Callithrix jacchus: one gene and its partner. The protein of the gene in region 2 purifies or fractionates together with the protein of the main gene of each other region. This does not show direct contact. Links are inferred from orthologs where the notes say so. Each region holds a gene or a part of one and is shown on either strand. Other genes may lie near its edges.

Region 1 (4,629 bases), on a different chromosome or scaffold from region 2:
AATTTTTGTATTTTTAGTAGATACAGGGTTTCACCATGTTGGCCAGCCTGGTCTCAAACTCCTGACATCAGGTGATCCACCTGCCTTGGCCTCCCAAAGTGCTGGGATTACAGGCTTGAGTCACTGTGCTCAGCCTCATTCTGGCACTTAATCAATCAATCCCTGCAGAAGGTTGCTATCTAAGAATATCTTTCAAGATTATAGACCCAGTGTCTGGATCACACAGAGCTATGCAATAATTGGCTCTGAAGAAATACTTGTGGCTGAGGTGCAGTGGCTCACACCTGTAATCCCAGCACTTTGGGAGGCCAAGGCGGGTGGATCATGAAGTCAGGAGTTCAGGACCAGGCTGGCCAACATGGTGAAACCCTGTCTCTACTAAAAATACAAAAATTAGGTGGGCATGGGCATAGGGGTGCCTATAATCCCAGGTACTCAGCAGGCTGAGGCAGAGAATTGCTTGAACCTGGGAGGCAGAGGCTGCAGTGAGCCAAGATCGCGCCACTGCACTCTAGCCTGTGTGACAGAGCAAGACTCAGTCTCAAAAAAAAAAAAGTAAAAGAAATACTTGCTAAATTAGTAATTTAGATTTATATTCATTCATCTTATCTCTTCAACTGGAATGTAAGCTTCAGAAGGGTTACCTCCATGCCTTGTACGTTTCTTGTATTCCCAGACCATAAGAAGGGTAGCTCACTGCAACCTCCACCTCCCAGGTTCAAGCGATCCTATCTCAGCTTCCCAAATAGCTGAGAATATAGTTGCACACCACCACGCCCAGCTGATTTTTGTTTGTTTTTATTATACTTTAAGTTCTGGGATACATGTGCTTTTTTCTGTTGTTTTTGAGACAGAGTCTCACTCTGTTGCCCAGGCTGGAGTGCAGTGGCACAATCTTGGCTCACCGCAACCTCCATCCCCCGGGGTTCAAGCAATTCTTCTGCCTCAGCCTCCCAAGTAGCTGGGATTACAGGTGCCTGCCACTGTGCCTGGCTAATTTTCGTGTTTTTAGTGGAGACGTGTTTCACCGTCTTGGCCAGGATGGTCTTCAACTCTTGACCTCAGGTCATCCCCCCACCTTGGCCTCCCAAAGTCTGGGATTACAGGCGTGAGCCACTGCAGCCAGCCAAGGGCTTCCTTTTCATCACCTTCATTGATATTCTTTAGTTCCACTGCAGGGAAGTCAGCCAGTTTTCTCCATACCACAGAGTGATTCAAAAGTTTAACCACAGACCCTAAATAACTTAGCTCACTTTACCCACATACCACTGTCATAGCATGTCAGGACTCCTTTGACTGTAAATTCCTTTTTTTTTTTTTTTTTTGAGACGGAGTTTCGCTGTTGTTACCCAGACTAGAGTGCAATGGCGCAATCTCGGCTCACCGCAACCTCCGCCTTCTGGGTTCAAGCAATTCTCCTGCCTCAGCCTCCCAAGTAGCTGGGACTACAGGCACGCACCATCATGCCCAGCTCATTTTTTTTTTATTTTTTATTTTTAGTAGAGACGGGGTTTCATCTTGTTGACCAGGATGGTCTCGATCTCTTGACCTCGTGATCCACCCGCCTCGGACTCCCAAAGTGCTGAGATTACAGGCGTGAGCCACCGCACCCGGACGACTGTAAATTCTTAACTGCCACTTTTGTATGAATGTTCTCTCTGCTGTGTTCCTAGCAGTTTGCCATGTGTCTTTGGGAAAAAGACACATTCTCCCTTAGCTACCTTGAATAGATTAGCATATGCTGCACACAGGGAAGAACAGGGCATGCTAATTTAACATGTTCACTCTCCACTTGTACAGACTTTGCACTTTCCCATAATCTCACTTTATTTCCACAATAACAGTGAGGGGCAGTATTGTTCCCATTTATAAAAGAGAAAGCTGAGACCCTAAAACAAAAGTGACCTGATCAAGGTGACATGGCAAGAGCTATTACACTGGTGAAGACCAGCTGGAAATCAGGTTTCCCATTCTGAATAACATGATCTTTTTGCTTAAAATGAAAAATACTGGGCTTTACAGATCCCTCATCTCCAAAGGGAAACTGGTTTGCTTATTTACTGGTTACTTTTGCAAGCTGGCATTTAATCATCACTGTTTACTTGTTCAACTGAATGGTTATGGGATTACAAAATGAGCCCTGCCCACCCATTCTCTAATTCAAACCTTTGCCCACGCTTCTCTGTGGGCTATTCAGGCCAGCAACCCACCTCTCTAACATTGGGCATGTCCAGCAGTTCTCCAAACACGTAGACACCAGGGGCCTCCAGCACCTGATGGATGAGTGTGGCCAGCGCTGCCCCCTTGGCCGACTTGGCTAGGAGCAGAAACTGCTCCTGGTTCTGCCCTGTCACCTTCACTTCCGCACTCATGACTGCACTGAGCTGGGGGGACCTGGGCTCAGGATGTTCAGAGCTGTAAGGAAAGAGGACGTGAAGCTAGAGGTCCCTGATCGCTGGTAGGATGGGAAGCACAGGGCCAAGGGACTGGATTGTAAAGGCACTAAGTTTTGCATGAGTAATCAGATATGTATCGGTCTAGAATTCTGATCTAGGAATCCTAAAGTCAGTCCCCTGGGCCTAACCCCAAGCCCCACCACGTGCACCCCACTGAACCCCAAAACACAGGTTGCAACGGAGAAAGGGGTGTCGCATGGTGTCCACCCTAACGACGACGCTGCCTCAGCTCTCCGCTCCTGTCCCGCACGTGCCCATAACCACGTGACCTCACCCCCAACGAAGCTTACACGTGGCTCCACCCCCTCCCTTAAAGACACCGCCCAGAGACCGTGGGCTCCCGCCGACTGCTTCGTCGTACCCTGGGTCAGACTTTGCGGACTGCTACCTGGAAGCTTTGACCTCCAGCGCACCGGGCGGGGCCGCCGCTCAGTCACCTCCGGCAGCTGTTCCAAGCCTTTCCTGCCACCTCCCTGCAGAGTCGCTCTGGCCACTAAACTCTATGGCGGGCTTCCGGCCGTACTTCCGCTCTTACGACGCAAGTTTCGGCAGGACATGCCCCGCCCCCGCTTTCTGATCGCTGAAGCTCCAGTGCGGGACGCAGGCATTCTGCTCTCCGATTGGTCGCTGGGGGAAGAATGACGGGCCTCTTTTTTTCTACTTTGTTTCAATAAAACTTTATTGGTGGAAGAGCGCTAGCCACTAAATGAGGGTGTCTCCGGCGGGTCCCTGGTCTCGGCTGTGTCTGTTCTTAGCCGCTGTGTCTGTTCTTAGCCGCTGGAGAGCTGGAGATCAGGATTACACTGGTGCCTCAGACAAGAGAAAAGCTGTAATGGAAGGAGTGAAGAAAAGGAAAAAAACGGGATGGGGGAATAAGGGACAGAGAGGAAGCAAAAAGTAATAATAGAAGTTTAACAGCTGAGATCGCTTGGTGGGGTTCATCCACTCACTTTTTTGAAGAGCAGGAGAAACGAAGTGAGAAAGGTAAAAGAAATAATAATAGGTAACATTTATTGAGTGCTTACCATTGGTCAGATATCTTTTAAAATTTTATTCCGTTGAACCTTCACAAATGTTTCCAGTGTGACTTCAGGACACCGTCTACCAAGATTACATATATATTCATACTTGTAGAATGATGCCTTCAGTATATGGACTCTTAATTTCTTGGGGAGGAAAAGACTATGTTGTTCTCACTTTGCAGAAAAGGAAAATGAGGCTCATAAAAATTCAAAGATTTGTCTGGAACTTTTCCAACTCAAAACCATCTTTCTATTTCAACATGATACTTTTATAAAAACAAAAACAACTAACATTTCTATAGTGTGTTATATTTCACAGCAGGCTGGCAGAAGGTCCAGTGAGGGTAAAGTTTGTGTTAAGCGATGAGCATTACTTAATTCATAGGATACAACAATCTAGTAATTGTTATCTCCACTTTCCAGATGGAAAAATTGAGACCCAGGAAAATTAAGAAACTTATAAGTAATGAAAAGATAAGAAAGTTAAAAAGAGAAAGATGAAGAGAAATAGGACTTGTAGTCTGTTAGGGCTAAAGGAACTGCAGACGCAGAGTTTAGAAAGTAAGCAGAAACACAAAAAGGAAAAACAAAGGAGAAAGAGGAGAAAAAGAAACGAATGGAAAAGGTGAAACATAAAAGTGAGGAGAAGGAATCAAAGGCATAAAGGCATAACAAAATATTCAAAGTTGGAAGGAACCAAGGAATTAATGAGTCCAAACTTATTTATTTATTTATTTATTTATTTGGTGTCCACCTCTCCCCACCCCAAGCTTATCTTCTTTGTTCTCTTTCTTTTCTTTATTATTATTATTTTTTTTTTGCTGGGATTTCGCTCTTGACATCCAGGCTGGAGGGCAATGGTGCAATCTCGGCTCACTGCAACCTCCACCTCTGGGGCTCAAGCGATTCTCCTGCCTCAACCTCCCGAATAGCTGAGATTACAGGCATAGACAATCACGCCTGGCTAAATTTTGTGTTTTTAGTAGAGATGGGGTACAAGCTTATCATTTTTAAAGAGAGAAGGGAAAAACGTGTGAAATGAAAGAATGATAAAATAACCCATGTTTGTTCTATTATGCACCAAGTGTTTTATTTGTTGATTTTTTACTTTGTTTTGTTTTAGGCATGGGTTCACTCTGTTGCCCAGGCTG
Region 2 (3,844 bases):
ATTACAGGTGTTAGCCACTGTGCCCAGCATCTGCTCTTTCATATAAGTAAGAAAATAAGGCCGGGAGCGGTGGCTCAGCCTGTAATCCCAGCACTTTGGGAGGCCGAGGCGGGTGGATCACGAGGTCAAGAGATCGAGACCATCCTGGTCAACATGGTGAAATGCCGTCTCTACTAAAAATACAATAAATTAGCTGGGCATGGTGGCGCGTGCCTGTAATCCCAGCTACTCAGAGGAGGCTGAGGCAGGAGAACTGCCTGAACCCAGGAGGCAGAGGTTGCAGTGAGCCGAGATCGCGCCATTGCACTCCAGCCTGGGTAACAAGAGCGAAACTCCGTCTGAAAAAAGAAAAAGAAAATAAAGACAGTAGAAATCTTTTTTTTTTTTTTTACAGAGTGTTGCTCTGTCACCAGGCTGGAGTGCAGTGGCGCAATCTTGGCTCACTGCAACCTCCGCCTTCCGGGTTCAAGTGATTCTTCTGCCTCAGCCTCCCGAGTAGCTGAGACCACAGGCACGTGCCAGCATGCCCGGCTAATTTTTTTGTAATTTTAGTAGACATCTTTACCAGCACTGTCCAACAGAACTATTTGCAGTGGTGGAAATGTTACAGATTTGTGCTAAGACATGGACATGTGACCACATGTGGCTACTGAGTACTTGAAACATGGCAAGTACACCTGAATCTTTTTTAATTTTAATTTACATAGCTGCATATGGCTAGTGGTCACCATACTGCAGAGCATAGCTCTAGATCCTTCTATTCTGACCAAGTTTCTTCTCTAAACTCTACTCTGCACACATACCTTTGTCTCAGGAATCCCAGCATAAGTGAAGCCAGACTCTCACTTTAAGTCAATTTCTTCTCAGTTTATTTATATCATTTAATTGTCAAGACAACCACAATATCCCAATTTATAATAATATAACATCAAGAGAAGAATTCTACCACCAAGTACACAGTTATAAGGACTCCCAATTAAAGGAAGCTCTATTTAATTTGGTCTTAAATAGCTTAAATTTGTCTGAAGGGAATTCTAAGCAACATTGCTTGGGATCTTTGATATTTTTTCTTGTTTTGAGACAATGTCTGATTCTGTCATGGAGGCTGATCCTACCGTCTTAATTGTAGCTTACTGAAAGCCTTGAACTGAGCTCAAGCCATCCTCCCACCTCAGCATCTTGAGAAGCTAGGACTACAGGCATGTACAGCTACACCCAGCTAATTTTTTTATTCTTTGCAGAAATAAGGCCTTGTTATGTTGCAAACTATAGGCCCCACAATTGAGATGGCCATTTTTTAAAACAAATTTTCAAAATTTGTATAAACAAAAAGGAGTTTATAAAAATGATAAAACTGAACAAAATACAACAAGCAATGATTAGTTGGAATGAGTAAAATGTAACTACTACAACTTTAGTTTTGCAAAGGAGCTCAATGTTGTTTCTAATGATTTACTTTCTACACCAAAAATAAAGCCAGAAAGTGCAGAGTGTTCAGTTTTAACAAGCACAAAACTATAAAAGAAGATGCCCCTTACAAAACAGCAAGGACGCCCAAGGAGTGCTCTTGTACATCCAGAGCCCCGAGCACAGTGTCCAGATGGGATAAGTTCTTCGCAAGGAGTTCCCCACTCTTGTTGATCAGTTCACAAAGCTGTGTCATTTGCCCTGGAAAACAGGAACAACACTATTGTATTTCAGCTACAGCACTAACCAAACTAAAGGAACTCCAACCACAGCTTTGTACTTCAGAGCCTGAAGTGCTCAAAAATGACTTACACATTCTTCATTTCGGATGAGGACCCAGAAGGACCAGAGGAGGGAAAGAACTTGTCCGTGGTCTCAAAATGAGTTAGAGATTACACTGGACCTTCCACTTCTCTCTGAATTTTTCACATTTTCCTCTATTCCGTTTTCCAGTCTCCCAAGCCAGAAATGTACATGTTACTATTAGCACCTCTCTGAATCCAGATGATTTAGTTTTACTTTCTCTCTCAGCTCCATTCCTTTTTCACTTCCCTCCCTGCCTTAATTCAGATCCTCATCATTTTTTGTCTGGACTATATCATAAATCTTCTTCTTCTTCTTTTTTTTTTTTTTTTTTTTGAGATGGAGTTTCACTCTTGTTGCCCAGGCTGGAGTGTAATGGCGTGATCTCGGCTCACCACAACCTCTGCCTCTGGGTTCAAGTGATTCTCCTGCCTCAGACTCCCAAATAGCTGGTATTACAGGCATGTGGCACCATGCCCAGCTAATTATCTTTATTTTTAGTAGAGACGGGGTTTCTCCATGTTGCTCAGGCTGGTCTCCAACTCCCGACCTTCAGTGATCCGCCTGCCTTGGGCTCCCAAAGTGCTGGGATCAGAGGTGAGCCACCACACCTGGCCTACATCTTCTAAATGGTCTGCCTACTACGATCTTTCTCTCCTCCAACCCACACTTCATAACCCACTAGTCTGTTCTAAACTGCGCATTCAATCGAATTACTCCAATGAGTTTAAGAAATCCAAATGCCTTAGCCTGAACTAAGGACCTTCAGTAACTGGTCCCTGCTACCTTTGCAGCCTTATCTCCTGATACTTCCCCTCACAAACCTACTCTTTGGTCACAGCAAGCTCAGAAAAATCAACATTCTATGTTCTCTCCTCTTTATGCTTCTACACATGCTGTTTTCTATCCTCCTCCCGACATCCTCTGCTACCTGACTGAGCCTCATCCAGCATTCAACAATCAGCTTGTGGCGTCTCTGGACCCTCATTTCAGTTCCCTTCCCCATGGATAAGCTGGATATCTGCCCTCTCTGCCTCACATGGGACTGTGGTGGTTAGGTAATTCAGTAAACTCAGGTGGAGGGACTGTCCCTTTCTCCAGCTCTAGAATACAGCACATGCTTAGCAGCTTATCAAGCAAGCAGCTACCTGTTGAATTAATCTCCTAACTGATCTATTTTTCCCCTATACTAAAATACTATGTTTGTTTTGTTTTCTTTTTTGAGACAAGATCTTATTCTGTCACCCAAGCTACAGTGCAGTGGTGTGATCACAGCTTGCCACAGCCTCAACCTCCTGGGCTCAAGCAATCCTCCCATCTTAGCCTCCCAAGTAGCTGGAACTACAGGTGTACGTCACCATGCCCATCTTATTTTTAAAATGTTTTGTACATTCTAGAGTCTCACTATGCTGCCCAGGATGGTCTCCTATTCCTGGGCCCAAGCAATCCTCCTGCCTCAGCCTCCCAAAGTGCTGAGATTACCAGCATTAGCTACCAAACCTGGCCTGCAATGCCATGTTTTAACAACTAAGGTACAGAATCTATTAATAATTCAGCCTCAGCCGGGTGCTATGGCTCACACCTGTAATCCCAGCACTTTCAGAGGATGAGGCAGGCAGATCTCTTCAAGACAGGAGCTCAAGACTAGGCTGGCTAACATGGCAAAACCGTGTCTCTACTAAAAATACAAAAATTAGCTGGGTGTGGTAGCACACACCTGTAATTTCAGCTACTTGGGGGGCTGAAATGGAAGAATCCTTGAACCTGGAAGATGGAGGCTGTAGTGAGCTGAGATCACGCCACTGCACTCCATCCTGGGCAACAGAGCAAGACTCCGTCTGAGGGAAAAAAAAAAAATAGGCCTGAATTGACACCATGAAGTAGATCCATCGATTTCGACAATTATTCTCATGGCAGACACCATGGTCACACTCTAGTTGGTAACAGAGGGAATATATTTAAGTCCATGGGCATTAACTCAAGTCTCCTACTTCTGTGCTTCTACATAACAACTGCATCATCTTTTCCTTACTAAAAGAATACAACATCGTATAATTCTTAAAATACAAGTGAC

What was found.
Region 1: the proteins of COPS3 (region 2) and COPS7A purify together in Homo sapiens (affinity purification with mass spectrometry; 14 studies listed by BioGRID and IntAct, counting the BioPlex papers as one, with this or other methods). This does not show direct contact. The link is inferred for Callithrix jacchus from reciprocal best matches to the Homo sapiens genes COPS3 and COPS7A.

What each region holds. Positions count from the first base shown.
Region 1 is NC_133510.1:20,915,216-20,919,844, reverse strand, and holds the start of COPS7A (COP9 signalosome complex subunit 7a), read right to left. Parts: upstream 2,952-4,629; 5' UTR 2,818-2,951; intron 2,709-2,817; exon of another isoform or gene 2,664-2,708; intron 2,416-2,663; 5' UTR 2,373-2,415; coding exon 2,211-2,372; intron 1-2,210.
Region 2 is NC_133506.1:62,410,565-62,414,408, forward strand, and holds part of COPS3 (COP9 signalosome complex subunit 3), read right to left. Parts: intron 3,609-3,844; exon of another isoform or gene 3,488-3,608; intron 1,688-3,487; exon of another isoform or gene 1,669-1,687; coding exon 1,539-1,668; intron 1-1,538. UniProt on the Homo sapiens protein: Component of the COP9 signalosome complex (CSN), a complex involved in various cellular and developmental processes.